Linked DNA regions of Canis lupus familiaris. The protein of the gene in region 3 interacts with the protein of the main gene of each other region in a pairwise test. Links are inferred from orthologs where the notes say so. Each region holds a gene or a part of one and is shown on either strand. Other genes may lie near its edges.

Region 1 (4,270 bases), on a different chromosome or scaffold from region 3:
GAGATCAACAAAAGAACCGACCAAAGCCTTATTAAAGGTCCTAAGAAGATCTCCCGGGTCCTTTGAGAAGCAGTTAAGGAAACAGTGTGCCCTCCATCATATTCTGTTACCGTATTTTATTCGGGCTCCAAAGGAAAGTGTCGCTTGGGGGGAGGGGGAAGTACTTTGATGAGCGGCGGCCTCGGCCCCTTTTGACTGCGGGGCGCCCCCTTCCTCTCCTCCTCCTCCTCCTCGCCCCAGCCCCGTCCGCTCGGGGGCCCGACCTCGCGGCCCGGCGGCGGGCGCTCCCACGGCGCGGCGCCCCGCGGCTCCCGGACTCGCCCTCGCGCTCACTCCTGCTCAAACTTTTCACTCCGCCTGTTGGGATGGAGGGGAGGGGGGACTAGGGAAGCCGGGGAGGAATTCCTCGAAAGGGACCCAAGTGGTGCCTAATACTCAGAAGGAGGTGCCACCTAAGAGGAACCGCCTGGCTCAAGGTTGGGGCGAAACCCTTTTGGGGGGGTGGGGGCGGGGGGCGCCTGGAGACGTCCAGCAGGTACGCGGGCTCCAGAAGTTAGTTCGGCTGGGAAATGGGCTTCGCCAGTACGAACAATCCGGGGAGACGGCCCCGAGGAGGCTCCCTCTGCGGCGCGGGAGGAGGAGACGGAGGCCGGGGGTCTGTGGCCGCGTCTGCCGCCCCCGCCCCCGCCCCCGCCCCCGGTGCAGGGCGCCCGCGAAGGAGGCGGGGTGCGGAAGGGAAAGTTTCCCGTTAAGACCTCCCGGGGCAGGAGGAGAGCGGGCGCCTTAAGGGGGCAGGAGCCGCGGGGCTCCAACGCCCGGGGAGACGCGCCGAGGACGGGCGCGCGGGCCCCGGGGGACGCGCAGCAGCGGGGGAGCGGCGGGGCCTCCCCCGCGGGGGCCGAGCGGGCCAGGCGGGGTCCGCGCCCCCCGCCGCCCCCGGCCCCCGCGCCCGCCGCGTCCGTCCGCAGGTGGCGGCGCGGGGAAGGCGGCCGCTGGGGCCCGGGGCGCCGCCCGGGGGGAGCCGGGGGGGCCCCCACTGCCCTGCAGCCCGCGGCCCCGGACTCCTCGAGCGCACAGCCCCGCCGCCGAGCCGGGTGGCGCGCGGGAGAGCCCGGGAACCGGTTCCCCGGCCCCGCGTCTCCTCTCCGCCACTCCCTCGCGGGCGCCGACAGGGCGAGCGAAGGGCGGGGACCCCCCCCCCCGGGCCGGCCTCGGGCCCCGCGTCCCCCCTCCGCCGACGGGCCCTGGCGCTGCGGCCGCTGTCCTCGCCTCGCTCTGCGCCGCGTTTGTCAGCCCAGCCCTGGAGTTAGCGCGCGCCCGGGGCGGGGCGGGCGGGCGCCGAGGGCGGGGTGCAGGGGGCGGAGGAGGGCGGGGGCGCGCGGAGGTAACCCCCGGCTCGGGCTGCCATTGCCCGGCTCGCTGTCACTCAGCCCGCGCGGGGCCGGGGATTGGCAGCACGGCCCCGTTACGCACTCACCTCGCGTTCACATACCCGGGGAGGGCAGTAGAAAGGTGATCAATCTTCATCAGGCTACATTTCCAATCACCTAAACAACCCGGCAAGACAAGCCACTCCGACAAGGTAAATCGCTTGATTTATTTAGTTCGCAAAGTGCCTCGGCGGGACTCCCCTGGCCCCCGCCGCCTCCGCGCTGCACCCGGACTGCAACTGCAGCCTCGAGCCGCCCCCCAACGCTGCCCCTCTCACCCCCCACCCGCCTACCCCTTGCGGCCCCTCGGCGCGGTCCCGGGCGACGTGGTGTCTCGGGGACGCGTAGGGCTTTGCAAACAAAGTGTCTGTGCAATAAAGTGAAACCTGGAGGGACCCGCACAAAGCCACCGGGAAGAAAGAGAAGGCAGGAGGGAAGTTGGGGAAAGCAAGAACCCCGGGGAGCCGGGACCCGCCGTCCGGCCCGGCGAGTAACCCCCGCGCCCTCTGTCTTTGCAGGTCGGCTGCCCCGCGGGCCTGCGCGAGGGCGCGAGGTAGATGGTGAGCGGCCCCGGCAGCCGAGGGCAGGTAAGCAGACAGCCGCGGGGCCGCCCTGGCTCCGGGAGCGCGCCGCCTGCTCCCACCCCGGCCCCCGAGCCGGTCCCCGCTTCCCAGGTCCCCGGCAGGTGGGCGGGGCTGGGGGGCGGCCTGGCTCCCCTCCCGGCGCGCGGAGGACCCCCGATCCCCGCCGCGGCCCCGCGGCCCCTCCCCCGCCTCCTCCGAAGTCAGCGAGCTCAAGTGCTAAGTTTGAAGAAAGTCTCTGGAAACTCACGCTGCAGCTCGGCAGAGGCGCGGCGGCCCGGCGTGCCCCCCTCTCTCTGGGCCCCGGAGCCCCGGGCTGCCCCTCCTTCGCCCCCCTTTCCCTGCCAGCTGGGGTCCGCCAGCCCAGACCGTGGGGCCTGGAGGAGGGGCGCGGGAGGCCGCCCCGGCTCTCCCCGCCCTCCCCGAACTCCCCAGCCCGGCCCCGGGCCTGCTTTGAATCCCCCGCGACGCGGGGTGCAGCGCAGGGTCCCCCGGGGCCGCGGCCGCGCCCCCCAGCTCCACTCCCTGCCCCTGCGAACGGCGCCGCGGGGGGAGGCGAGCGGGGAGCCGGGCTTCGACCTGGCGGCCCGGGTCAGCCGAGCTGCGCCGCCGAGGCCTAGTCGCGTCGGCCCTGGGCAGGGTCCTGGGCCGCGGGCCGGGCGGGCGGGATAGGCCGGGAGCACGCGGGGGCGCGGCGCCCGGGCCTCCCCGATCCGCGACCCCTCGGGGCGCCGGGCGGGCCGCCCTCCGGCCTCCGCCCGGGCCGCGCTGTCCGCAGCCAGCAGCCAGCAGCCAGCAGCGGGCAGAAAGCAGCGGCGGCGGGCGTTGTCGGGGAGGGGGCCTGCGGCGGGGCCTGGGCGCCCCTGACCCCCCGCCGCGCCCTGGAGCCCCCGCGGCCCCCGCGTCCGCGTCTCCTGGCCGCCGTGGGCCCGGGCCTGTTACTGTGGCCCAGGTGTGCTGGGCTCCCCGGGGAGCGGCCTCTCCGCGGCCGGGCGCAGGGAGGTCAACTGGCAGGGTGGCCGTGGGCTCGGGGGCCCAGACCCAGCGGGGACACCCTTGCAGGAGCGCACCCTAAGTGGGCCCTGCCACCCGGAGAGGCCCAGGTGCCGCTAGCCTCCCGCGGCGCCTCACCTTAGCTCTCCCCGACCCTCCACCTTTTCATCCCGCTTTTCAAAAACATTTTGAAACGAAACGAAACAACCTCTGGTGCCCTGGGCAGCCTGCCTCACTGGCGCCGAGTAAACGTTTGCTCTTGCAGTATGGAGGCCGGCTCCTACCCGACCAGAATTTGGCCTAGACTTGGGACCTTGCACGCCGGGCGTTTTAGGCCCTCACTTTCCAGCTTGGCCCTGCTTTTAGCCTCTCCGCACTCCTAGCGACGCCCTACGAGGGTCTTTTACCCATTCCACGCCTGAGAAGAGGCGATGACGATCCAGAAAAGCTGACTTTTCAAAGAAGCTGTGGTCTTCCGGCCAAGGCCTTGTAGAGCCAAGCTGACCGCCCTTCCGAGTTCCGCAGGCCTGCGTGCCCTCCCCAGCCCCCGGCTGCTCGCCTCCGACGAGACCAGGAAACCGAGATGGCTCCCAGTCACTGTTTACCTGTGTCTCCTGTCTCCATAGGCCGGGCCCCCCGACGCAGCAGAGTTTGAAGGACTGCGCAGTGGGAGCCCCGCACTGCGCCTGGCCCCGGCCCCCTGGATCCGTCCGGGCGCCTCCACCCGGCTGTTAGCATGATGTCTTACCTCAAACAACCCCCATATGGCATGAACGGGCTGGGCCTGGCCGGGCCAGCCATGGACCTCCTGCACCCTTCCGTGGGCTACCCGGGTGAGCACCAGTCCCTGCCCCCAGCCCCTGCAAATCTTGGGGACGCCCAGACTCTTGAGTTTGAGCGCACACTCGGTGTCTGAGCAGGCCCGGGGAGTGGGATGGCGGGTCTGCCTGCAGTGCTCTGCACGCCGCAGGCTCACAGGGCAGTGGCGGGTGCATGAGGCAGGCCAGGCCAGTGAAGCTGGGCAATCTGTCTCTTGTGGTCCCACCACCAGCACAGGGCCCACTTACCCAAGGATTCGTTTCTCATGGGTGGCTTTTTTGGGGTGTGTGTGTGTGTGTGAATCTATTCCTTTCCTCCCAATGTTGAAAGAGAGATTTGGACACTCTCTAGGCCCTGACAGGAAGGGCCAGGCTTTTCTTATGAGAAGTGACTGGCTGAGACGAAGAAGAGGGGCTCTCCCTCCCTAATTGAATTGTCCTCTACATC
Region 2 (4,214 bases), on a different chromosome or scaffold from region 3:
AGTGGTGGCCCTGATTTAACTTATATGTTAGAATGATCACTCTGGCTGGAAAAGAGATTCTGGATTTGCAAGAGATGAAGCAAAGAGACCAGTTAGAAGTGATCGTGGTGGTTAGAGCAAGAGAGGATGGCTGCTTGTACTAGGTTGGTGGAAGTGGTAAGAGACATTGTATTTACAGGAAATCACAGGGTGAGAGAATACATTTCTGTTGTTTCCATCCCCCCAGTCGGTGGTGCTTTTGTTTCGGTCCCTAGGAAAGAACACACTCTCTCTCATTTCTTTTTCTATATTTGGTGCTTGGCCCCAGAGTTTTGGTCAGAAATGCTATGGTCGTGATAGGCCTTCTCTCTCCTGGTCATCTTCCTCTCCCTCTCTATTTCTGAAAGAACTTAGGAGAAAAGTCCTCCCATACATATTTTGAAGGCACAAAAATCCTTGCAATGTTTTTTTCTTCTTCTAATGATTTAAATAAATACAGGTTTACTGTAGAAAGTTTGGAAATAAAGAATACAATTATTCTGTATTCTCATCACACAAAATAACCACTGGGGACATTTTATTTACAAGCAAAACAAAGTTTAGACTCATCATTCATTCAGTTTTGTGCGAATTTTTGTCACTTAACATTACATCAACGTTATGGTGCCCGGTATTATTAAATAGTTTCAAACAAGCTATTTAAAGGCTGTGCAACATTCCATTAGATAGATGTATTATTATGTATTTAATAACTCCCCTACCATTGAATCTTTGGGTTGTCTTCAGTTTGAGCTTTTTTTTTTTTTTTTTTTTTTTAAAGATCTTATTTATTTATTCATAGAGACAGAGAGGCAGAGACACAGGAGGAAGGAGAAGCAGGCTCCGTGGAGGGAGCCTGACATGGGACTCGATCCAGGGTCTCCAGGATCACACCCTGGGCTGCAGGCGAGGCTAAACCCCTGCGCCACTGGGGCTGCCCTGAGCTTTGTTTTTGTTTGTTTTTACAGTCTTTGCTTTATAAATACTTTTGGATCGTTACATAAAAGTTGGTCTACACATTTGGTTATTTCTTTGGGATTGTCTTTGAGGTAGAGTTACTGCATCAAAGATAAAAAATGTGTTCTAACTGGCTTATCAAGCTAAGTTTCAGGGATTTGTCTCCAGAGTGCACGTGACCTATAATAGGAGGCACATTTTTGTGCTTAATTGTGTCAGACGTGCATCTACCTATTTTATACACCTTTAATCCTCTCAATGGCTCTCTGACATAGATGCTAATATTATCCCCATTTCCCAGATGAGGAAACTGAGGCACAGGGCACCAGTGCCATGCAACTGGTAGATACGAGAGCACAGTGTGATTCCAGCTAGGTCTGCAATACAAGCCTAGAGCAGCAGACCTTAATCGCGGGTGAGTTTTCTCCCCCGAGGGTGTTGGTAATATCTGGAGTCATTTTCAATTGCCATACAACTCTGGGAGAAGCAGGAAGTGCAGCTATTGGCCTTGAGTTGGTAGAGGCCAGTGCTGTTTCTAAACGCCCTGTAATGCACAGGACAGCCTCACAACAAGGGACGACACAGCCCAAAATGTCAGTGGGGTTAAGGTTGAAAAACCTCAGTCTTGGGGTGCGGGGGTGGTTTATTCCGTTGGGCATCTGATTCTTGATTTCAGCTCAGGTCCTGGGATTGAGCCCCAGGTCAGGCTCCAGGCTTAGCAGGGAATCTGCTTGAGATTCTCCCTCTCATTCTGCCCCCACCCCTGCTCGCTCTCTCTCTCTCAAAATAAATAAATAAATCTTCAAAAAGAAAAGAAAAGAAAAACCCCCATTCTTTGCCGGCGCCCTGTGATACCTTGCCATTTCCCATGAATCCTATGGGATGAGAAGCGAAGGTGACCCAGGGAGCCCTTTGGTCCAGCCCAGGTCCCATCCCCCCCCACCTTCTCTTTTTCCACTTGTGAGCTTGTATTTATGGCAGTTGTTCTTTGCCTGCCTGGGGAGCCTTCAGCCTCATTCTGCTGTCCAGAGGCCCCTGTCCTGCAAACCAGCTCCCTCATAAAGGCAGCTTGCTCAGAGAACACGGCTTTGAGATACTCCCCGAAATCTTTACCACTGTCTCCCCCCACTTCCCAAAACCTCCCCCCAGTAAACCTACAATCCTGGGAACATGAGATGGTTTTGCAGTTCAGAGACAAGCTGCTGAGCATTTTTGTTCTGTGAGGATGACATCCCCTCAAGGGAAAAGCCTGTCACCAGTGAGGCCTCCTATGTTCCAGGGGCTGGGCCCTCTCGTCTAGGGCTTGGGGGGGGGGGTGTTCCCCAGCCAGTGGAGGGGAGACGTACCTTGGTTTGTCCTCGCACCTTCTTAATCCTGTTTCCATTTAAACTTCAAACAGCCCAGGAGAGAGTCCTCCCCTGATATACCATCAAAGAGGTTGAGGTTTAGACCTTTCCTGAGGTCAGATCCTTGGCAGGAGGGGTTTGAACTCCGGGGACCCTGGTGACAGCTCTTTGTCCCAAACCAAGTGCCTTAGCCCAGTCGTCAGGGCAGGAAGCAGCCTCCCTCCCCTGCCTGCTTTCACTGTGGCCTCGGTGCCTGGGGAGAGGAGGCCCCCCCCCCAGTCCTCACCTCTCGGGGGGTCCTCTCGCCCGGTGGCGGGGGCCTGTGGGAGGCCAGGCAGCAAGGGTGGAGTCTCCGGCCGGAGCTGCGGTCCCGGGGAAAGCCTGAGACCCCCGTGGCCTACTCCCAGGGGCCGACAGGCTGGAGCCGAGCTCAGAACAGCAACTACTGAAGCAACGCTTCTGGGAAAGGCGGGGCTTGAAAAATGGGTTTCGCTTTTCCTTTCCTTTTCCCTTTCTCTACTAGCTGTGTGGTGACAGGTTAGCAGCACCGCAGGCAGGGGCCCGGGCCCCCTCACCCTGTCCTCGCTGTGCGCCTAGGAAGGCAAGGACTCAGGCCAGCGGACCCCGGGGAGGGGGCGGTCGCGGGGTTGGTCGGCCCCTGGCCTCCACTCTCCACCTGGGAAATGGGTATAAAAATAGCTCCTGTGGCACAGAGCCATGGTGAGGAGTGAGGCCCCTGGGGCCCAGGTGGACCCCGCAAGCGCTTCGACGGTGGTCACCATGGGTGGGCTGCCCTCATGTGGCTTCCTCGCCCCTCTGAGCTGGGTGCCGGGCAAGGTCTGCCGCCTCCCGTGTGTAACTGGGGAGTGCAGAATTCTCTGAAGACCCGGTGTGTTTCCGTAAATCATTTGGTGGTGGAACCTGACCCCGCCTCTGCAGGGACCTGGTTTTTATGTATCCCACTTCATTTGCATATTCATTGTTTCCCTGCAGAAGTATTAGGGTGTGACTAAACCTTTCCTGGGACGCCTGGGTGACTCAGTGGTTGAACCGCTGCCTTCAGCTCAGGGCGTGACCCCGGGGTCCTGAGATCGAGTCCTGCCCCCATCGGGCTCCCTGCATGGAGCCTGCTTCTCCCTCTGCCTGTGTCTCTGCCTCTCTGTGTGTCTCTCATGAACAAATAAATAAAATCTTTAAAAAATAAATAAATAAAAGAAAAAGAAAGACCTTTCCTCTCCCCACATCCAAACCATTGGAAACTCTGGAACATATCTGGCCCCGATGGTTTGAGATACAAGATTGTGGTTGCGGGTCTCCCGATCTGCAGATGAGGAAACTGAGACCTCGGGCTGGCGGGGGGAGGGGGCAGGGGCTTGCCCGTGGTCGCACAGCTAGGACAGGGCGAGGGACCCAGTTCTGGGCTCCGTGTCTGTGGGAATGGCCTGCCTCACAGTCGTGGGCTGAGATCTGTGTCCCTGTGCGAGGGCCGCGTGCTCTGTTCCTGTGGATCAGGCCGGGAGCCCCAGGTCCTCTCCTCTGCCCTCCTGGAGGCCACACTGGGGGCTGCCGCTGGCACACGGAGTGGCCCAACCAGCCAGCCTTGGCTCTGCGGGCGTCCCCCGGGCCCTCTAGCAGGGAGGAGGGATGGGAGGCTGATGAGTTGCTGAGCTGCGACTCGGCGGGGCCTCTGGGTCCCTGGTGTCCTGGCCTCCTGCGCTCAGGGGCCCTCGGAGGCCATCCTTGCTGGAGGGCTGGTCAGCCCAGCTGCCATCCAGCCCCTCTGCTGCTTCTCCTCTCCCCCCCCAACCCCCCCCCAACATAGACCCAGATGCCCAGGCCTCTCCAGGGTCCTGGGAGCCTCAGGGGCCAGGCTGGCCGAACGACTGAGTGGTG
Region 3 (3,500 bases):
GACAGTCTGGTTGGCGGTCAGGCACTGGACCTCCCTGGTCTGAATACCGCCCTGGCAGGAGCGAGAACACTGCGGAGACCCCGCTATCAAATCAGACCTCTGCTGTGACCCAGGTTCCTCCTGAACCTCAGGCCACCTCCTTCTCTGAAAGTAGTTGGGGGGGGGGGTTCACCAGGAACATTATGCAATCCCACATTGACAGGGCCCACTTGTCCTCCATGTATACAGGAAGTGGGGCAATAATAAACCAGCTGCAGCTGGCCTCATGCTGGGACACAATGGGGATACCAGGAGTGGAGCCTCCAAACTTTCCTTAGAAGCTCAACAAGACAGGGGAGTCAGGCACTCACCGGACTCCAAGGAGTAGAAAACCATCGGTCCTGGCAGTCCTGCCCCTGACAGGGCTGCAGGGCAGGGGGCCTGGGCAGGTGGGAACAGTTGCTGGGGGAAGTCACGTTGAACTCAGTTCCCAGTTTGGACACACAAATGATGTCTCTACGCTGCGTGCCAGAACCGCATTCTGAGGAGCACTGATACAGAGGAAGGGCAGGGTGTGCAAGGGGAAGGGAGAACAGGGATCACTCCTGCCAGCCCCCTTCCAAGCTCTTGGCTCACCTCGGCCCAGGGCCCCGTGTACCAGCACCACGTCATCTCACAGGGTCCCAAGCTACAGGCACGCATGTCTGGGGGACGGCTTCCCGGTGCACAGCTCTGCTTGCTGGGCCCTGCCCCTGCTTCCTCCTGGCCCAGCCCCTGGGTCTCCCCACTCCCAAGGCAGACCACAGACCGTCGCTGGATTCCAGTCCCACAATTGGCTGAGCACTGTTGAGAAGGTGATGGGTAGGGGAGGAGGAAAAGGGGTTGAGGGGGGCCCGTCCTGGATCCCCTGAGTTGGGGAGTGCCCCGGGTACCACCCAGGTAAGAAGAACCTGTAATGGGAGTCCGGGACCCTAACGTGAGTTCTTCTCACTTAACTCGGAATCCCAGCATCAGCAACATCTAGCACATACCAGGGCTTGTTCAGTAAATGTGGACCAAAATGTGTTGGAAAGGTCCTGGGTGTGGGCACCAGGGATGCATGACTCGGGTAAGGGCTGTGGGGCCCACCTTGGAGCTCCAGTCGCTGTGGAACCAAGCTGTGGTACAGGGCCCCATGTCACAGGCCTCTCTGCTGGGGGGCCGCGGAGGGCCTGACGCACACTCCGTCTCGCTCACTTCATGGCCGTTGTTTCCCACGCAGCGAACTTGCCGGCTCCTCTGGCCCCGCCCGCACCGCACTGAGCACTGGGGAGGAGAGCTCGTGAGAGCCCAGCCTCCGGGCCTCTGGGCCTCCAGCCTCGGGCTCCAGGGCCTTGCAACCAGGACCTGCCTTCTTCCCTAACTCAGCACCTATAGGGCTGTATGGGCTGAGGGGCAGACTCGACAGGTGGCTCTGGGCCCCCAATCCCCGGTTCAGGGTCTCATCTGACTTATATGCTGGGGTTTCACACGCTCAGGTCTTGTCATTAAAAAGCTTCTGCCAGTTAAAAAGGATCAGGAAAACCACTGCTCTAGCTCACTGGCACCCGTCCACCTAGGGTCCTTCCCACCCTGGCAGCTCCCTTGCCGGGCCCCACTCACCTGGCTCCAGGGGGAGCGAACTTCCCAGTGGCCACAGAGGCGCAGTTGACAGGTCTGGGTGACATTGGGCCGAGGGAGATGTGCACAGCGCTCTAGAGGCACAGAGGAGCCACCCCCACCAAATTCTTGCCGGCAGCGCAGCTGGCGATGCTGGGTGCCGGGGCCACAGGAGCGGCTACAGGACGTCCACTCACCAGCCTCCCAGCTGTGGGGTAACAGGGCAAGAAAGAAGCAGAGACATGGATAAAGAAAACACAGGTGTGCAGGGCTGCCATGGGTGGGGCAAGGGATGACAGTCCTGGGGGAGGGAAACCCTGCAGGGCAGGGCGGGTGTCTTCATCACTTGGAGCCCAATTTCCCTTGTGGGGCTCGGGCTGCCAGGGTTCTCCTCCTGTCCAGGGAGCGTGAGCCTTTCCAATCAAACACTGGGTCTCTGCAGCCAGGAGGCCTAGTGTGTTGGGTGCAGAGTCCAGGGCAATACGCTAAGGCGGTGTGAATGCGTCTGCCGGGGACAACTGTTGTGCTCCTAGGACCCCAGCCCTCCCTGTGGGTCATACTCACTAGGGCGGGCATGGGGGACCATGGCAGGGCTCCAGGGGGGTCGGGGGCCTGGCACCCATGGCACAGCTGTGTTCGTCCAGTTCCTCCCCTGACTCACGAGAAATGCAGAGGAAAATGGGGCGCCAAACACCTGAAGAGATGACAGGGAAGCCAGGGGAGGCAGGATGGCCCAGAGCCCAGCGTCCGTGCAGCTCCAGACACTGGAATTCATCTTCACACAGAGTCAAGGTATGGATCCTCAATCCAGGGTGTGGGGTCAGGAGTGCCCTGTCAGGGTCTTAGTCTAAAGGTGCCAGGAATACAGGCCTAGTGCATCAAGTTTCACCTTTTCTTTTTTTTTTTTTTTTAATTTTTTTTTCATTTATTTATGATAGTCACACAGAGAGAGAGAGAGAGGCAGAGACATAGGCAGAGGGAGAAGCAGACTCCATGCACCGGGAGCCCGACGTGGGATTCGATCCCGGGTCTCCAGGATCGCGCCCTGGGCCAAAGGCAGGCGCCAAACCGCTGCGCCACCCAGGGATCCCAAGTCTCACCTTTTCCACAAGAGGCCGAGCACTCTGAGTGTCCCATTCGCTTCCAGTACCCAGTCTGAGACCCCAGGGGTGTCCTGGGCAGCGGAGGAGGGCGCACCTGGGGGATCCGCACCTGGCGCTGGAGGGTGCCTGGGGTCCGGGCCGGCCGGGGCACTGACATGGGTGGGGGCTCCACCCTCAGGATCTCTGTGTAGGGTGGTCAGTCACGCAGGCAGATCAGATACAGCCCACTGCCTCACAGCTCCCCTTCCAGTCCCTCCCCGCCCCCTAGGTGAGGGGAGCAGAGCCTCACCTGGCTGCAGCTGGGGGCTGGGGGGCTCTGGGGTGGTGCTCTCAGGGTTTGCAGGAGGCAAAGAGACGATGTACTGGTAAAAAATGCCTGGGTTTTCCTCCTGAAAGATCACCTGGAGAGAGAGTTGGGAGGAGTTGTCCGGGGTGGGGGCGGCCAGGGCACACCGCTAGCCTTCTCCCCCATCTCGTGACCCACAGCTGTGCCCCAGAGGGAAGGCCCTCCCTCCCTCCCTGCCAGCTGTCCAGCTTCCCCAGGCCCCAAGCTCACGTAGACATCCACAGGCTGGGTCGTGGGGCCTTGGGCTGACAGACTCTCCCCCTTGCCCTCCTCTCGAGAAGGACGGTTGTACAGGAAGACAGTCCCACTGGCCGTGTAGGACCCAGGGGGATCCACAGCCCAGTTTCCGTTGATGATGGACTGGCCCCCAGGGCCTCGAAGGGCTGCCGATCAGAGATCAGGACAGAGGTCAGCCACGCCGAGCCCCGGGCACC
Region 4 (4,142 bases), on a different chromosome or scaffold from region 3:
AGTGTGTCACTTGCTGCAGAGACCGGTCTCTGCCTCTCTTGAGGCATCAGGGCCACCTGCCAGGAACTTCAGATGCCTTCACATCGCAGGTCCAGCGTCTGACAGGAGCCCTGGGAGAGATGCTTTCTGTTTCTAGGCCCAGACTTTGGAACCCCAAACCTCCCTGGTGTAGACAGGACAGTGCCTGCACCCCACCACAACACTCAGGAATCTTATGGTCAGCGAGGCCCCCCGTGGGCTCCTCTTAGCCAGACCCTCCTGGGAAGGGTGATAAACACAAGTCCCCAGAGTGAGCTTGCTGGTGGTTTAGGAGGGGCCAGGAAATATCTATAAAGACCTAGGTTCCTTCTTGGAGTCTCAGGATCCTCAGCTCCAGGAAAACGCAACAGGTTAGCAGCAGACAGGACGTGAGCCCGGCGTGCTTGTCCCCGGCAGGAGCCTGTCCCTTTATCTCCCCCAGCTGCCAACGGCCCAGCCAGGCATCTGGGCGACTCTGCAAAACGGAGGCCGGGGCAGGGAAGGGACACTGGAGCAGGCTGCGGCCAGACGAAGATGCCACGGTAGGCGGCCACCCTCCCGGCACCTACCCGTGATGCCCGAGTCAGAACGCGACGTCTGCCCACAGATGCCTGTCCTGCCTGTCCCTGGAGAAGGAGGGTCAAGACAGGGCAGGGGCCTGCGGACATTCAACCCCTCCCCAACGGGCACCTTTTCGCCACCGCCCGCCCTGCCCACCGAGCCGGCCACGGCTGAACCTGACCCCACCCGGGGGTCACTCCCCGGAGTCACCTGGCCCTGCCCTCTGGAGAGCCTGCCGGAGCTCTCGTCCCTTCCACCCACCTCGGCCACCACGTTCTTCGACTAAAGTCTAAACTCCAGCCCGCGGGCTAATCTTCAATCTTGGGCCGAGCAGCGGTTGGCTCCGCGAGGGGGCCGGGTAAGGTGTCACTGTGACACAAGAAGTGCTAATCCCCCCCAGCCCGAGCCAAGGCCTCGCCAGCTGCCCTCTGCACCAGGCCTTACCAAGCCTCCCCGCAGCTGCAGCGCCAGGATCTGAACTTTGGCTGGGAAGCGGGACAACAATCGCTGTAATCCCGGGCCGCGGTCTCTGGGGCCCTGGGCTGGCTCCCTCCCGGTCCCTGCCCCCGCCTGCCCTGCCCAGGCCCCGAGCCCCGATTCTGCAGATCTGGTTCCTCCCGTGTGCTCGTGCGCCACTCCCCTGTCCCGGGAAGGCACCCTCCGAGCCTTCCTCAGCCTCTCTCAGGCCAAGCCTCCCCCCGCCGCGGTGGCCCCGGGCTGGGTCTGAGTTTGCACTTGGCCGAGGGTCTGGAAAAGCCCAGGTCTGCGACAGCAGGCAACTGCCGCCAACGGCCAATTAGCTGTGCTAAGCGGCCCGGGAGGAATTCTTTGCAGCAGCCTGCCACCCACTCACCAACATCTGCTCACCATTAGTGCCCCCGGCCCAGACCCCATTGGGGCCAGGGGCAATGGGCATGCACAGGTACACACTCACCGCCCCCCGCCCCCGCCGCCCACTCACACGGCTGCACTAACACTCGCAGACCCACGGGAGCGCACAGCTTACACAAGCCCGGAGACCCATGCCAGCATCCACGTGCACACACCGTTCACACACACAAACACACGTGCCACACCTCACGGTGCCCGGCGACAGAGAGTGGAGCCCAGACGGGAGGCGAGATGTCCCCACCCTGGCCACCACCCCTACTGTAATCCAGGAAAACCACCTGCAAACCAGCCAGAATGTTTTCACCTGCCCCCACCGCACCCCCGCTGCCCCGCAGCTTCATCTAACTCTCGGGGACCAAGGAGCAGGAGGGGCTTTTTCCCTGAAGGCAGTTTGTTTGGGGACCTGTGTGAATATGGGGCGGGCTGAGGGTCCGTGTGGCCACCCATGGGTCCTGCTCATGCAGCTGCTGACCCGCGCCAATGTGCCAGGCACCCAGCTTCGGGGGGCTGGGGACAGCGGGCAGCGTGTCCCCAGGGTCCAGGCTGTAGGAAGAGGGAGCTGGCTGCCCCGGCCGGGCAGAGTGGAGACCTAGAAGCTACAGCCGAGGGGTGAGGAGCTGCTGTCCCCACAATTGGTAGCTGCCTCCAGAGCTGATTCCCCACGATAGACGCCTGCAGGGGACACTGGCCAGACTATTATTCTCTGGGTCTCGGCTTCCCACGGTGCCTGGTAGGAAACGGGCTCTGGGCTGCAGGTGTAGCTGAGTTCCAGCCCCAAGTCCTCATGACCTCCAGCCAGCTCGTGCCCTCTCTGCTCCTCGGTGTCCCCATCTGCACAATGGGTGAGGATGAGACCTATGCCGCGTGTGCTCTGCTCCAGAGCCCAGCACCTGGGGCCACCCCACGTACCTCGTTTCGGCCGAGGGAGTTGTCCGGAAGGGAGGAGGTGATGCCCGAGAGGATGGCGGTGGCCACGATGGCCCCCACGCACTGGGCGATGATGTACATGACAGCCCTGAGGATGCTGATCTGGCAACTGAGCAGCAGCCCCAGCGTGACAGCTGGGTTGAGGTGGGCGCCACTAATGTGGCCCACGCTCTGGGCCAGGGTGGCAATGCTCAGCCCGAAGGCCAGTGACACCTTCACGTTATCCTGGGCCGCACCTGCTGTCTGGTTGTTCCTCACCGGGTAGTTGAAGCCCAGGGCAGAACCGATGCTGATGAAGACGAAGAGGATCATGGCCAGGAACTCGGCCACCACCGCCCTCCAGAAGAGCTTCTTCTTGAACTCGCTGGCCATGCTGGCAGGGGGCTTGGCTTGAGACCGCTGCCTGGTGCTCGACTCCCTCCGAGAGCTGAGCCACAGCCCGGGCTGGGCCTATTTATAGGGCCCGGGGGGAGGAGAGGAGGGGGGGGAGCACAAAGGGAGGAAGGCCTCTCCTTGCTCCTGGCCCGCCCCGCACTTCACGGGCCTCCTCTCAGCGATGGATGCAGACACAGCTCTGCTGTCGGCCTGCCAACTTTTTTCCCTCCCTCCTCTCCCCCCTCCCTCCCTCTCTCCCTCCGCCCTCAGCCCTGCCCAGCCCGAGGAGGCAGGCGGGAGGCAGCCACTGCTCTAATAGGCTTTGGGAAATTCCTCCAAGTTGGCCCCACTCAGGGGGCCAGAGAAATCCAGGTGTCCCCGCCCTATGTGCGGAGCTCAGGGGTGTCCATGGGCAGAGCCAGAAGCTCTGGATGGTGCAGGGTGGGTGGGTTGGACTCCGCAGGTGGACTTTGCCTTCCCGAGAAGTGGGGCACCATGATCCTGCTCGCCCGGCATCCCATCCCATCCCGGAGTGGCGTTATTCTGGACAGCACGGGTCCAGGGGTCCCCAGGGGCATTCTGGGTCTCCCACACCCTGGCCCAGGCCTGGCTACAAGATGTCACCTTAGGGATGCCCCAGGGGCCCAGCACCACTGGCCAGGCCCAGTTGATGGGGACACAGAGGCATTAGGAGGCACGGAGAGCTTGTCGGTGGCCCACCCCGCACTCTGTGGTCAAGGGCAGGCCCGAGATAGGCAAGTAGCCACTCTGGGAGCCCTCATTGCTCCAGAAGCAATTAGAACCAACGATAGCAGGGCAGGTGGAGAAAACAGAGGCAGTTCAGGATTTTCCTCTCCAGGGCTGCATGCTGGCAGACCCCAGGGGGCGAGGGAAGGAATGGCCAGGTAGCCTGGAGACGGAGGCAGAGACGAGAGAAGGAGAGAGGACACAAGACAAAGGGAGAGGCAGAGAGACAGAGTCAAAGGGCAAGTGAGACGAGCGAGATCTCAGGCCAGGCTGAGGAGGAGAGACAGCCAGGGAGCAGAGACGGGGAAGAGACAAACCTGACAGAGGAGACGCCACTGGAACCAGCAGAGGCACGAAGCAAGAGGGGAAAGGTGGGGTGGGTGGGGAAGAGGCCGGCCCGCAGACCCCTGCCCCCAGCCCCTGCCCTGCACGCCGCCAGCCAGAGGCCCGACAGCAGCCGGTAAGCTGTGCAGGCGCCCGGACTCCCCCAGGCAGGGGGCTCCTGCCGGCCGCCTGCCCAGTCGGTGTGCAGCGAGGGCAAGAGCAGCCAGGCGGGGCCGGGAGGGGGCGAGGCCAGGCCCGGGAGGGAGCGGCCCTCTCTGGGCCTCTCCTCCCACCTCCCG
Region 5 (3,500 bases), on a different chromosome or scaffold from region 3:
GAGAAATTGGAACTCGCTCACACATTGCTGGTGGCAACGTAGAATGGTACAGCCACTGTGGGAAATAGTTTATCAGTTCCTTAAAAAGTTAAACATAGAATTACCAAATGACCCAGCAATTCAGCTTTTAGGTATCTACCCAAGAGAAATGAATACATATGTCCACACAGAAACTCATACATGCATGAATATAGCTGCATTATTTATAGTAGTCCCAAAGTGGAAACAACTCAAATGTTTCTCAACAGATCAACAGATCACAAAATGTGATAGAGCCACACCATTGAAATATTAGGCAGTTGAAAAGATGAAGTATTGATACATGCTACAGCATGGATGAAACCTCCAAAACATTATGCTCAAAGTCAGTGTAGCCATATTTGTAGGACTACACTGCTATGAAATATCCAGAATAGGCAAATCCATAGACCGAGAGTAATGCTTGTGAGGAGCTGGAAGGAGGGAAAAATGGAGACTGGCTGTTAATGGGTATGGGGCTTCTTTTTGGTGTGACAAAATGTTTTAAAATTAGAATGATGGTGATGGTTGTGTAACTCTGTGAATATGCTAAAAAACATTAAATTGTATATGTTAATGGGTGAATTTTATTGGTGTGTCAACTACATCTCCATAAGCTATTATATATCAAAAACATTAGTGACTATATTATCCTAATTACTTGAAAATGGAAAAGTGTGTGCAAATTACATTTTTGCCAGAGGCTGGAAGGAAGGAGGAGCCGGCGTTAGTATTGGATGGATACTATGTTTCAGTTGTGCAATATGCTAAGAGTTCTGGAGATGGATGGTGGTGAGCCATCAATGAACTTAATTACACAGAACTGTACCCTTAAAAATAGTTATTTTACCACAATAAAAATCTATAATCCAAAAAAATTATATTTTATGTTATTCCAATGTATATAAGGCTTTTACCCCCTCTCTCTTTTTTTCTTTTTAGCAAGAAGACTGAAAGTGTGATTGGCCTTTTGGTTTTTGTGGATGGGATTCTTCTGTTTTAGAATTTCTATTCAATATGTGTGTTTGTTAGGAAAGGGAGTGTTGGTTATACACACACATATATGTCTTTATCTTGGCTTTGAATGAGAATTTGAAAATGCTTTTTAAAACTTTATTTGCCAATAGGAAAATAAAAGAGGCCAAACTGTAGTAAAATTTATATTGTTAAATCATAAAATGGGCAAATGCTGTTCTCAGAGTATGAATTGTCACAGATGTCCTGATTTTCTTGGTTAATCTTGGCTCCTGGTATGGGAAAAAATTTATACTTTATATATAGAACATATCTTTCTATAAGCATTTTCCTTTGCAGAGTAGAATAGAATGAGCACCAAAATGCATTGAAAGTACTCACATAGGTGTTCTATTTGTACAATACAATAGGTGAGTTTTAGAATGCAAAGGAAGGGATGGAAAAATGAAAAAAAGAAAAAAGAAAATCAGCAATGAGGGAGTCACTGAAAAAGGAATTGAATGATTTCTAAAGGCCATGGAACTTTGTTATAACCCAGGCAGTTTGTAGGCTCTAAAGTTTGTAACTTCTAAGGATTAATCTGTGAAAACATTTTCTAAGCCTGGCTGCTGTATAGGACATTTGAATTTGAAGATTGATGGTGCAAATGCCAGTAGTGCCATTAGTATAAAGTGTAATCAGAGGTATGTTTGTTTTTCTTGACCAGGAAGTGTTTTCTTTTAAAAGTACAAGAAATGTACTGTGCCTGTGTGAGTGTGTGTGTCTATGTATTTTCTGTCTGTTCTTCCATTGCAGGAAGAATTATGGTCTTCCAACATCTTTGTCCTTTATAGTAGGGGTTTTTCTAGAATTTGGCACTGTAGTATATTTCCCTTGATTACAGGATCCAATCAGAGTTGTACTCAGAAATCCATTGATGTGATTAATGGTCTCCTAATCATACTTTTATTTCTAGATTAGCCCAATTTCCTGTACTTTCACAATTTTTGAGTCATATATTGAATTATCCTTTATGGGGGGCCTGAAATATTTGTATTTTTAGTCTGTAATTTGCATGATTATTTAAATTTTCTTTGATTTCTTTTGCTTGAAGAAAATGAAATTTTGGTCTTTTTTGAACTCTGAGTGCTGTTCTATGGTAAAAGGCCAACCTGGTATGAACTTTTTTTTAAAACTATATACATTTTTTTCCATCGGCCCTAGGTCTAGAAGTCTTTGCATAAATGTCCACTAGCCTAGGTTTTATTCTTCTCAAAAGTAAAGTATTCTCAGATTCTCCAAGTAACAGGGAAGTAGACCAGGAAATGACTGTACAGGAAGTGTAATTGATCATTCGTGCTTTACATTTGATCACAGGATTGGCTAATAAACAGTCTATTGAATGAAATAAATTGACTTCTAAAATCTCTGGGGCCCTTGAATACATTTGCAGATTATTAACGCCTTTGTCACCTTACTGATTTTTTAAAAATCTCCTACCTTTTTCAAATGATTGTCTGCATTTGAAAGGGGGACTTTTTCATACCAAGTAGTTGCTTTAATATTTGCTTTGTTTTCCACAGTGCCCTTAAAGATAGCCGTTTCCCCCCAATGACAAGGGATGAGCTGCCACGGCTGTTCTGCTCAGTGTCTCTTCTCACTAACTTTGAAGATGTCTGTGATTATTTGGACTGGGAGGTAAGAGTATAGACATTTTTGAAAGAGAAATGAAGGTAACTCCTGCGTAAATGTTAAAAATTAGATCCAGGAAGCAACTCTTTCAGCCCATTCTCTATTGTAGTGCAGGTGAGGAGAGTAAGGTGGAGAAATAAACCTCACAGCTGATCAATGAGATAACAGTGAAGGAGGTTTTTTCTGTTTTTGTTTTTGTTTTTAAGGCAAAGTGCCATGTGTCATTTTTGTCCTTAAACTGAATTTGCTGTTTATTTTTATCCTATTACTTTAGCACAGCCCCTCATAAAAGCTGTTAATAAGTAGTAAGAAGGACTGATCGGAATTTATTCCTTCTATTTCCATTCTGATGTACTTCAGTGTAACTGCCACCCAGCAATTGGGTGTTGTGAGGACACATCTCAGAAGCAAGGAGCCAAAAAGTTAGGATAATACACCAGTAGGGGAAATCAGACTGTGGATACAGATCAGAGTGTTTGTTAACTGCAGTTAAATCTTGTTCACTCATTCTTGGCTACCTTATTTTGTGTACTTAACCATGCTAACAAATAATATTAAGGTTATATCATGATGATCTCTGAACATTGTCATGATTGAAGTAGCCTAGATTTGTCATATTTTTTATTCATTAGTATGTGGGGTTGGGTTTTTAAGGAAGTTCAAAGGTTCTCACCATGATTTTGTTTTGGTCATTGTGAGGAGATAGCTGAGCGTGTGTTTATGAAATTTCACACATAATAGTGCATATGTCACTGAATGCCTACTGTATTTGAGGCACTGTGCCACATATACAAAAGTCCTAAGATTTGCTCTCCACCATGAACCATCCTTCAGTC
Region 6 (4,066 bases), about 2.1 Mb from region 3:
AAATCTTAAAAAAAAAAAAAAAAGAACCAGAGAATCTCTGAGTTTACTAGGGCAGAGGAAAGACAAAAGGCAGAGAAGCGAATTTGTCAAACCTAAGTGTATGGTTTTTTTTTTTTATGAAAAATAAGCTTTTCAACAAAATAAAGCTGTTCATTCAAAAAGGGTGGCCTTGTACGACGTGGCATTCCCCCATCGCTGTTTGTTTAAGTGGTATTATCTTGTTAGAAATGTAGTAAACGGTATTATACCCTTCACTGTGCAAATATTTATTAAAAGCTTACTCCGGACAAGATGCATGCAGAACAGGAAGAGGAATCAAAACTAGACTTGCTCTCTGCCAGCCTTCAAAGCAGTGCTTGACACTTTAATATGTATACACATTCCCCTGAGGATCTTGTTAAAATGCAGATTCTGATCCTGTAGGATAGAGCCTCAGATTCTACACTTCTAGCCAGCTCCCAGGTGATGGCAAAGCTGCTGGTCTGTGTCACACACATTGAGTGATAACGGTTTCCGCTAGGGAATCGGAAAAGCACATAATTATAACACAAAGAATGAATTAGTAAATACCATACACGTTCCATTAATCATCAGCAAAAACCTAGATCCGTTCCAACCCGAGGACAATCTCTGTCCTTTTCTGCTCTCACTGTTCCTTCTCTTCTTGTTGGTCTTCCTCAAATGGCATTTCTTTTGGGGTTGCTCGTTGCATTCGCGGTTTCTTAGCTCAGAATAGCTTTCTCCTCCTCTTCAGACCAGTTTCACGCATCTGTCAAGGTTTCTCGCCTAATTACTCCTTCCTCACTGGGGCCCCAGTCGAGGCTGCTCCCCACCGCAGCCAGCTGGAAGGTACCTCAAGCAGTCGCCACTACTTCCTTCTGATTCCAGGAGGAAATTCTGTTTCTAAATCCCTGGAGGAACCCACCTGTCCGGGTTGCCCAGAGAACGTTCTGTTTAACCTGAAGCCCGGTGAGGCGGGCGGCAAGGAGGCAGCGCCGCTTCTCCGGGTACGGAGCGCCTGAGGCCGGGAGGCGGCCCTGCGGTCCCTGGAGCCCGTCTGCTCCGGAAGGCCGGCCCGCGGCTGACCGCGCCAGGGTTTCTGGGTCGGGTGGGCGGAGCCCGCGCCCCGCCCCGCCCCGCCCAGCCCGAGGCCAACGCGGAGCGGGCGCCCCCGCCTGGCGCGAGAGGCTGCCCACCACCGAGGCGGCGGCGGCGGCGGCTAGAGAGGCCGCGAGCTCGGGAGCCGTCGCCGCGCGGCCGTAGGGAACGCGCGCGGGGCGGGCCTGGCGCCCCTGGCCTCGTAGCCATTTTAGGAGGAAACCCGGATCTCCAGCCCGGGGCGCGGCTTCAATTTCAATAACTTTATTGGTGGACGTAACCGCAGAACAGCCATCTCGCGAGTGGCTAGGGGAGGAGGAAGAGCATCGCGGGAGGTGACTGGGGTGGGGGCTCCCCCGGGCAGTGAACGCGGGGATGCGGGGAGTTCCCCGAAGCGGGTTTCCCCAGCGGCGGGCGTCGAGAGGCGGGTGGCGGGTGGCGGGTGGGGGGTGGGGGGCCGCGGGCGCTGCCGGAGGCCGAGGAAGGAGGGGACCCCGGGCACGGCTTCCCTGGGGCGGGGATTCCCTGGCCCGGGTCCCCAGGCGCAGGGGCGGAGCGGGGGGCGTCCCTGACGCGGCCGCCGGGTGTTAAAGCCCCGCGTGGTTCGCCCCGGCAGGTGGCCCCCGACTCGAGCTACAGCCATGGGAAACACCACCAGCGACCGGGTGGCTGGCGAGCGCCACGGCGCCAAGGCTTCTCGCGCCGAGGGCGCCGGCGGCCACGCGCCGGGCAAGGAGCACAAGATCATGGTGGGGAGTACGGACGACCCCAGCGTCTTCAGCCTGCCGGACCCCAAGGTGAGTCTCCCCGCGCGCGCCCCGGCGGCCCAGCCCCCCTCCCCTTCCGGGCTCCTCCTCATCCCACCGACCTACGTTACGGTTTTCTGAATTAAAGGGATGGGGCTGGGGAGGGGGGGGGGGGGGGGGGGACGGAGATGTTGGAGGGTAACTGACGCCTGCGGCGCTGCCTCGAAATACTATAGAGGCGGGGTTTCTGTCGTTCGCCTGACCTGCTGGCCATATTTTTACGATGGGGACTGTAGAGTCGTCCCCCCCCCCCCCCCACAACGCCACACACACACACACACCCATCCCCGGTTTTCCGAACAGGCAGGAGCCCTCTTGGAGAGTAGTGATGAGTTTATGGGTTGTAAACCCTATAGACCCTGGTAGAAAACTTCAAAGACGGTAGGTTGCCTGAGTGGCTGATCATCTGAGACAGTTTCTCAGGTTTACCCTGAGGTAGGCAAACGAATTTCTTTTTTTCTGATAACCTGTAGGTATCAGTATCATTTTTGCTCCTCTAAGAACCCAGCACTTCGGATCCTCTTCCCCTTTGGCAGGATTGTGAGCAGCAGCCACTTGCCTATTTGATACTTTCTCCTCGTCTTGGAGATCAGTACAGGACTTCCTTTGGCTGACTGCTCAGTTGTTCATCTCATCCTTTATATTGCGGTTGGCTGAGGTGCTTCCTTCTTCACACCCAGCTACTGGTCAACTGGGAGAGCAAACGATCCAGGATTTCTCCTCTTCCAGTAGGAATTCGTGATGTTACCATCGCTGAAAACGGACAACCCGCAGCTGCCGGGCAGGCAGACCTTGCTCTCAAATCCAAGGACTTCCAGAAAAGCGGCAACTTGTGCCCACCCGTAGATTAGATGGAGTTGACTGCAATGGGATTACCATCCGAATATTTCTAGTCCCATTTAGAGCTGTCAGCATGAAATAACAATAATCCCTCCAGGCAGTCCGAGTGGGAGGAAGTAGAAAAAATGGAGGGATTGAGGAGATTCAGGTGTGTTTGATGTTTTTTTTTTTTTTATCACTTCAAACCTTTCACCAAATTGGGGTTTTAGGGAGTAAAGAAATGATTTGCCCCATTGGTAGCACATGAAATTTGGATTCTGTTTATTTTCTTGAATCCCAGTTGAAAACATAACTACAGAAAAAGAAGTGAAGGTGGTTAAAAGCACCATCTTGGGGTTTCGTCTCCATTCCTTTCTTCCTTCTCCCACTTTAGAACTTCTTTCTCAGCATTTGGGCCATCTAGCCAGTCATTTTGAATTTCCTTAGAAGCTTTCTCAAGGTGATCCACCTCCTAATTTTACCCTTTTCCTATGTCAATGACTCAGGATTTAAGTACAGTGTATTTGTCAAACTCTGACTGCAATAATTGGTGTGCTGAATAAAAGCCAGGTTGCTCCATCTGAAATGGAGCCTATTTTGGTTCCTTCCTTCCCTAACCCCAGTCTTGCCATTTGTGAGTAAGAAAATTGGTTCAGATAATTCCTAAGGTCTCTTATACATGTAAAATTTTATAGTTCTCAATCTAGTCTCTTTACTTCTTCCTTCATTGTTTTACTTAAATATTTTCAAACTGTAGTTCTCATTGTTTTGCCTCTTTTCATAATGATTTTGCTGACAATTTAACTTGGAGTAAATGGTCTTTCTGCTAGTCAGCTGCACTCAGGCCTGCCACGGAAATGTCATGTCATATGTGGAAGGGCTTTCTTCCAAAGCCGGGCATGTTAATAGTTTGTAGCTTTCAAATTCGAAATTGAAAATACTAAATCATCAAAGTGACTCATAGAAACAGTGGCAGTGGGGTCAACATTGCTTCAAATGCCAGTCCTCTTCAGTGGACTAGGTCAGTGGTTCTCAACCCTGTTTGCACATTAGAATCACCTAAAATTTGTTTAAACACTGTATGGAAAATTAGAGACATTTTCCATGTTTCAAAGTAGTTAGAGTAGTATAGTAAACTCCTATATACCCATCACCCAGTTTAAACAATGATTAAATTTGAACAAATTTATGTCATGCCTATGCCAGTCCACTTCCCCCTACCAAATATTTTGAAACAAATTCCAGACATCCTATCAAATATTATTTTATCTGTAAATATTTTAGGATGTATCTGTAAAGTTGAGGTTTTTTCCTTTGTTTAACATAATCACAGTAATAATATT
Region 7 (4,028 bases), on a different chromosome or scaffold from region 3:
GGCAGGAGGGACGTCGCCACGGCCTTCGGGATAGGGACAAGAGGGTGGTCACGCCTCCTCCGCTAATATGAACACGCGTAAGTCTCCTCTCCTGCTGCTATAATGTCTCTCCTCGTCCATGGACACCATCCACTCTCCCCAAGGATGTCCTCCTCACTCCACCTCCCCCCATCCCATACCCCGGACTCACCTGGATGTCCTGGTCCTGCTTCATGTCCTCCGGTGGGTCCTGGGTGGAAACATCAGGGGCAGGAACTGCGGGTGCAGCTCAGACCTCTTTTTACCATTATTTGTTGGGGGTGAGGCTCCTGGACGAGGAGGGAGGCAGGGTCCTGGCCCCATATGAGTAGGGAGTCCCTAACTCAGGAAGGGCTGTCTGAGCAGGGCCTGCCTGTAGATGGCCAGGTACACGACCTCAGTTGTCCTCACAGTGGAGGGCACACCTATTATCCCCACCGCTCAGACAAAGAAACTGAGGCAGAGCTGGGAGAGGGGTGGCCGGAGATCACCCTGAATGAGAATGGCAGAAGAGGCCTGGATCCCCGCGCTCCCTCCCTGCTGGTAAATGCCACACACTTGGTGGCACTGTGAGGGGTCACCTCTTTGAGTCCATGCCGCTTTAGGCTAAGGGCTTGGGCTCTGGATTCAGACAGACACAGGTTCCCATCCGACTCCAGCACTTCCCGCTGCGAGGGCGGAGCCAAATCACTCCCCCTGCATCCCTAATGAGGGGCATCTCAGAGCGCAGCTATGGTTCTAGGTGGAAACGGCTTAAATGCCACCTGCTTGGCCTGCTTGGCGAGTGCCTTCAGGTTGGAATTGGAGGCAACACGCGGAAAGCCTGCTGCTGGGGAGTGCTCACTTTCCTATAATTTTTTACTTTTATTTTTAATTTGTTTATTATTATTTTTTAAAGGATTTTATTTATTTATTCATGAAAGACACAGAGAGAGAAAGGCAGAGACGTAGGCAGAGGGAGAAGCAGGCTCCAGGCAGGGAGCCCGATGTAGGATTCGATCCTGAGACCAAGGATCACGCCCTGAGCCAGGGGCAGGTGCTCAACCGCTGAGCCACCCAGGCGTCCCTCCTATAATTTTTTAAAGAATTATTTTCAGTAGGCTCCACACCTGATGTGGGGCTTGAACTCACGACCCTGAGATCAAGAGTAGCATGCTCCCCAGACTGAGCCAGCTAGGCGCCCCTCCTATTACCTTTATCATACCCTTTACACATGTAAATATAAATAACTCAATATGTACCTTATTATACTCTTCAGCAACTATGGGGGGGGCCTTATAGGAAGATGAAATGCACAGTGCACTGGCCACCAAAGTCATTTAAGGTGTAAAGTAGCCATGTTGCATTTGTGCCTCAAAGCCATTCATTCATCATATGGGCTCCCCTGCCCTCTCTCCTCCCCCATCTCATGTTTATCTTAGCCTGTCTTGCGTGTTCTTTTGCTCACTCTGTTCCCTCTTCCAGGAAGACTGTTTCCAACTCCCCCACCACCCAGGATCCCTTCTCCCCAGCATCAAAGCTGGCACCACCTCTTCCAGGAAGCCTTTCCCGACTGACCTCCAGGGGTCCTCTGTAATGACATCAGTCCTGATTCATTTCACCGCCCAATTTCACGATTCTCTCCCCCACTTAATACCACCAACATGTAATGAGTGCCGACAGTTTGCAGGCTCCCGGGTCAGACGCATGACTAAAAGGTGACTAAGTCAATGTGGATCATGAACTAGGAACTGGTGGTGCACAGATGGGGCTCATCATGGATACACCAGGTTCCTTCCGTTCCCGGTCCCCAGCTACCCCATCCTTGGAGGGCAAGAGGGGCAGTTTACCTGGGCATCCAGGTCATTACTCAGTTCCTGTCCATCTTTCTGCTTTACCCCTGGTGGCAAGAGTTAAGTGTAAGTAAAAGGTCCTTGAAGGATCTTCTGGGAGTTTCAGGGTCCCCAGAACCCCAATATAGACCCTCCCCAGAAGATGAGCGCGGCGCTTCTTCACACAGACCACACCTCCCTCGCGCGCTCCCCCCTCCTCTCCCCTACCAGGGCCGGGACCCCAGCCGGCTCACCGTACACGATGGAGCGCCCCACTCCGGTGTGGTCGCTGCCAAATTTCCTCATCAGAGTCCCCGCCTTCTTGGAGGATACCTTCCCATGAAACTTCTCCCGGAGGCGCCGGACGCTTTTCTCCAGCTGGGGTGGGCACAGGGGGGTTCCGATCGGGGAAGGAGAGGGGCGACTTGCCCTCCTCCATCTCTAGGCATCCTTCTCCCCGCCCGAACTTGACCCTTGCTTTTGGCCTCCCCCACCATCCCTCTACGGCATTTCCTGGGAGAAGCCAAAGTCCCCACCGGGCATTGGGGGAGGGAGCGGAGTGGGGCGAGCGCCCCCGGCTAGGGGAGGAGGCCGGCCAGGTAACCTGGCCTCTGACCCTTGACCCTGCAGCCCCCCTTTTCCTCGAGGAGGCCGCATCTCACTCTGGGGGGCCGGGGCGGTCATTATCCTTTCCGAGGGGGGGCGAGTGCCCGCCAGGGGTAAGGTCTGGGCTTCGGATGGAGTCCCCAGAACTGCGAAGCCCCCTCGGCGCCCCCGGCGCCTCTCGGGGGCCCCCGGCCCAGGCGCAGGCATCTCCTACCTCCACACCTTCTTGAGACATGGTGGCGGCGGCGGCGGCGCGGGTTCCGCGAGGGGCCGCACTGCGCGCTCGGAGCCCCCCTACCTGGGCGCGCCCGGGTCCAGCAGCCGCGCAGGGCAGGGGGCGGGGCCTCCGGGCGGCTCCGCCCTTCCTTCTCGGCCCCCTCTTTCGCTTTCGATTGCTGGGGGTGACGGCGTGGACGGGGCGCTCTGGCTCCGCCCCGGCTCCGCCTCTGCCCTCGCGCCCCAGGCCCCGCGGGCGCCGGGGGTCTGCACCCTGCGGCGGAGCGCGCGGGCCTCGGGCGGTGGAGGCGGCGCGGCCTCTGCAGTCGGTCACATGTCCCCACGCTGCGCGGGGTCCGCGTCTTCACGTCCCTCGTGGGGGCGGGGCCGCATCGCAAGGCCGCCGCGAATCTCCGGGCCCCCCCCAGCTCGCGCTTCCCCACTTCATCGCTCTCGCAGCTCCCCTCCCTCGGGACCTGGGGCCCCTCCTCGCTCTGAGGCTCTTCCGCGGCTACGTCCGGACCTGTCTGCACCTCAGTTTACTCCTCTGTAAAATGGGGATGATAACAGCGGCTACATCGTGGCTGGGTGTGATTGCCAGGATTCGAGACCCGGGGTGGAGCGCTTAGTAGCACCTGGCATGGGGTAGCCTAACGAGTCACTAAGCCGCCTACTGTGTGCCACAGCTGGAGGTAGTTGGGCGAAGGAGGAGATGCTTGTTGGATAAATAGAGGTCACTGGTGCCTAGCAGTCCAGCAACAGCCTGTAGTCCAGGGGTGCCTGGGAATCTGCACTGTAAATCGGAAGGTTGAGAATCCTCTGGGCCAGCACAATTTTTTTTTTCCCCTGAAATAGGCTCCACACCCAAGGTGGGGCTTGAACTCGTGACCCTGAGATCAAGAGTCACATGCTCCACCCACTGAACCAGCCAGAGGCCCCTATTACATAAAGCTATTCTTTAACACACACGCACACACACACACCAAAAGAAACGGAGATGAAAAAGTATAGATGTTCTAATGTTTTCTACTTGACCTCCAAAGCTTTGTTTGTGGGTCTGTGTGCCCCGTCTGGAGCCTATTAATGAGTGTAAACAGTTCATGGTTCTTTGTGACTGAATGTGGAATTTCAGGCTGAGAGCCAGGCCTGTAGCTGCATAGAGGACCTGGGATTTTATACTGAGGGAGGTGGGGAGGTGTGGAGGGGCTCTCTTGTTATACACGTATCTGTGATATATAGTACATAATCTCCACTTACCAGTGAGGAGAAGGAGGTCGCAGCCAGGGTGGGTGACAAGCAGGGAGGAAACAGGTGGGAAACTGATCCAGCTCCGACATGAACCAGATCTGCTAGATTCTTTCTTTCTTTCTTTCTTTC

Evidence for each region.
Region 1: the proteins of ADAMTSL4 (region 3) and OTX1 interact in binary tests that used the Homo sapiens proteins (3 or more experiments, as listed by UniProt). The two-hybrid records come from large-scale screens. The link is inferred for Canis lupus familiaris from reciprocal best matches to the Homo sapiens genes ADAMTSL4 and OTX1.
Region 2: the proteins of ADAMTSL4 (region 3) and APOL6 interact in binary tests that used the Homo sapiens proteins (3 or more experiments, as listed by UniProt). The two-hybrid records come from large-scale screens. The link is inferred for Canis lupus familiaris from reciprocal best matches to the Homo sapiens genes ADAMTSL4 and APOL6.
Region 4: the proteins of ADAMTSL4 (region 3) and AQP1 interact in a two-hybrid assay, tested with the Homo sapiens proteins (2 studies listed by BioGRID and IntAct). The link is inferred for Canis lupus familiaris from reciprocal best matches to the Homo sapiens genes ADAMTSL4 and AQP1.
Region 5: the proteins of ADAMTSL4 (region 3) and AMMECR1 interact in binary tests that used the Homo sapiens proteins (3 or more experiments, as listed by UniProt). The two-hybrid records come from large-scale screens. The link is inferred for Canis lupus familiaris from reciprocal best matches to the Homo sapiens genes ADAMTSL4 and AMMECR1.
Region 6: the proteins of ADAMTSL4 (region 3) and PRKAB2 interact in binary tests that used the Homo sapiens proteins (3 or more experiments, as listed by UniProt). The link is inferred for Canis lupus familiaris from reciprocal best matches to the Homo sapiens genes ADAMTSL4 and PRKAB2.
Region 7: the proteins of ADAMTSL4 (region 3) and SHFL interact in binary tests that used the Homo sapiens proteins (3 or more experiments, as listed by UniProt). The two-hybrid records come from large-scale screens. The link is inferred for Canis lupus familiaris from reciprocal best matches to the Homo sapiens genes ADAMTSL4 and SHFL.

Annotation. Positions count from the first base shown.
Region 1 is NC_049231.1:64,119,541-64,123,810, forward strand, and holds the start of OTX1 (homeobox protein OTX1), read left to right. Parts: upstream 1-1,470; 5' UTR 1,471-1,582; intron 1,583-1,948; 5' UTR 1,949-2,017; intron 2,018-3,228; exon of another isoform or gene 3,229-3,630; 5' UTR 3,631-3,740; coding exon 3,741-3,837; intron 3,838-4,270. UniProt on the Homo sapiens protein: Probably plays a role in the development of the brain and the sense organs. Can bind to the BCD target sequence (BTS): 5'-TCTAATCCC-3'.
Region 2 is NC_049231.1:29,543,420-29,547,633, forward strand, and holds the start of APOL6 (apolipoprotein L6), read right to left. Parts: upstream 2,801-4,214; 5' UTR 2,608-2,800; intron 1-2,607. UniProt on the Homo sapiens protein: May affect the movement of lipids in the cytoplasm or allow the binding of lipids to organelles.
Region 3 is NC_049238.1:60,400,499-60,403,998, reverse strand, and holds part of ADAMTSL4 (ADAMTS-like protein 4), read right to left. Parts: intron 3,450-3,500; coding exon 3,277-3,449; intron 3,122-3,276; coding exon 3,010-3,121; intron 2,904-3,009; coding exon 2,718-2,903; intron 2,312-2,717; coding exon 2,182-2,311; intron 1,826-2,181; coding exon 1,621-1,825; intron 1,285-1,620; coding exon 1,108-1,284; intron 823-1,107; coding exon 616-822; intron 531-615; coding exon 351-530; intron 70-350; coding exon 1-69. UniProt on the Homo sapiens protein: Positive regulation of apoptosis. May facilitate FBN1 microfibril biogenesis.
Region 4 is NC_049235.1:43,684,966-43,689,107, reverse strand, and holds the start of AQP1 (aquaporin-1), read right to left. Parts: upstream 2,801-4,142; 5' UTR 2,770-2,800; coding exon 2,380-2,769; intron 1,007-2,379; exon of another isoform or gene 588-1,006; intron 494-587; exon of another isoform or gene 1-493. UniProt on the Homo sapiens protein: Forms a water channel that facilitates the transport of water across cell membranes, playing a crucial role in water homeostasis in various tissues.
Region 5 is NC_049260.1:84,074,199-84,077,698, reverse strand, and holds part of AMMECR1 (AMME syndrome candidate gene 1 protein), read left to right. Parts: intron 1-2,555; coding exon 2,556-2,670; intron 2,671-3,500.
Region 6 is NC_049238.1:58,294,633-58,298,698, reverse strand, and holds the start of PRKAB2 (5'-AMP-activated protein kinase subunit beta-2), read left to right. Parts: upstream 1-1,266; 5' UTR 1,267-1,433; intron 1,434-1,438; exon of another isoform or gene 1,439-1,522; intron 1,523-1,714; 5' UTR 1,715-1,739; coding exon 1,740-1,895; intron 1,896-4,066. UniProt on the Homo sapiens protein: Non-catalytic subunit of AMP-activated protein kinase (AMPK), an energy sensor protein kinase that plays a key role in regulating cellular energy metabolism.
Region 7 is NC_049241.1:51,360,908-51,364,935, forward strand, and holds the start of SHFL (shiftless antiviral inhibitor of ribosomal frameshifting protein), read right to left. Parts: upstream 2,801-4,028; 5' UTR 2,671-2,800; coding exon 2,650-2,670; intron 2,208-2,649; coding exon 2,084-2,207; intron 1,898-2,083; coding exon 1,848-1,897; intron 230-1,847; coding exon 191-229; intron 24-190; coding exon 1-23.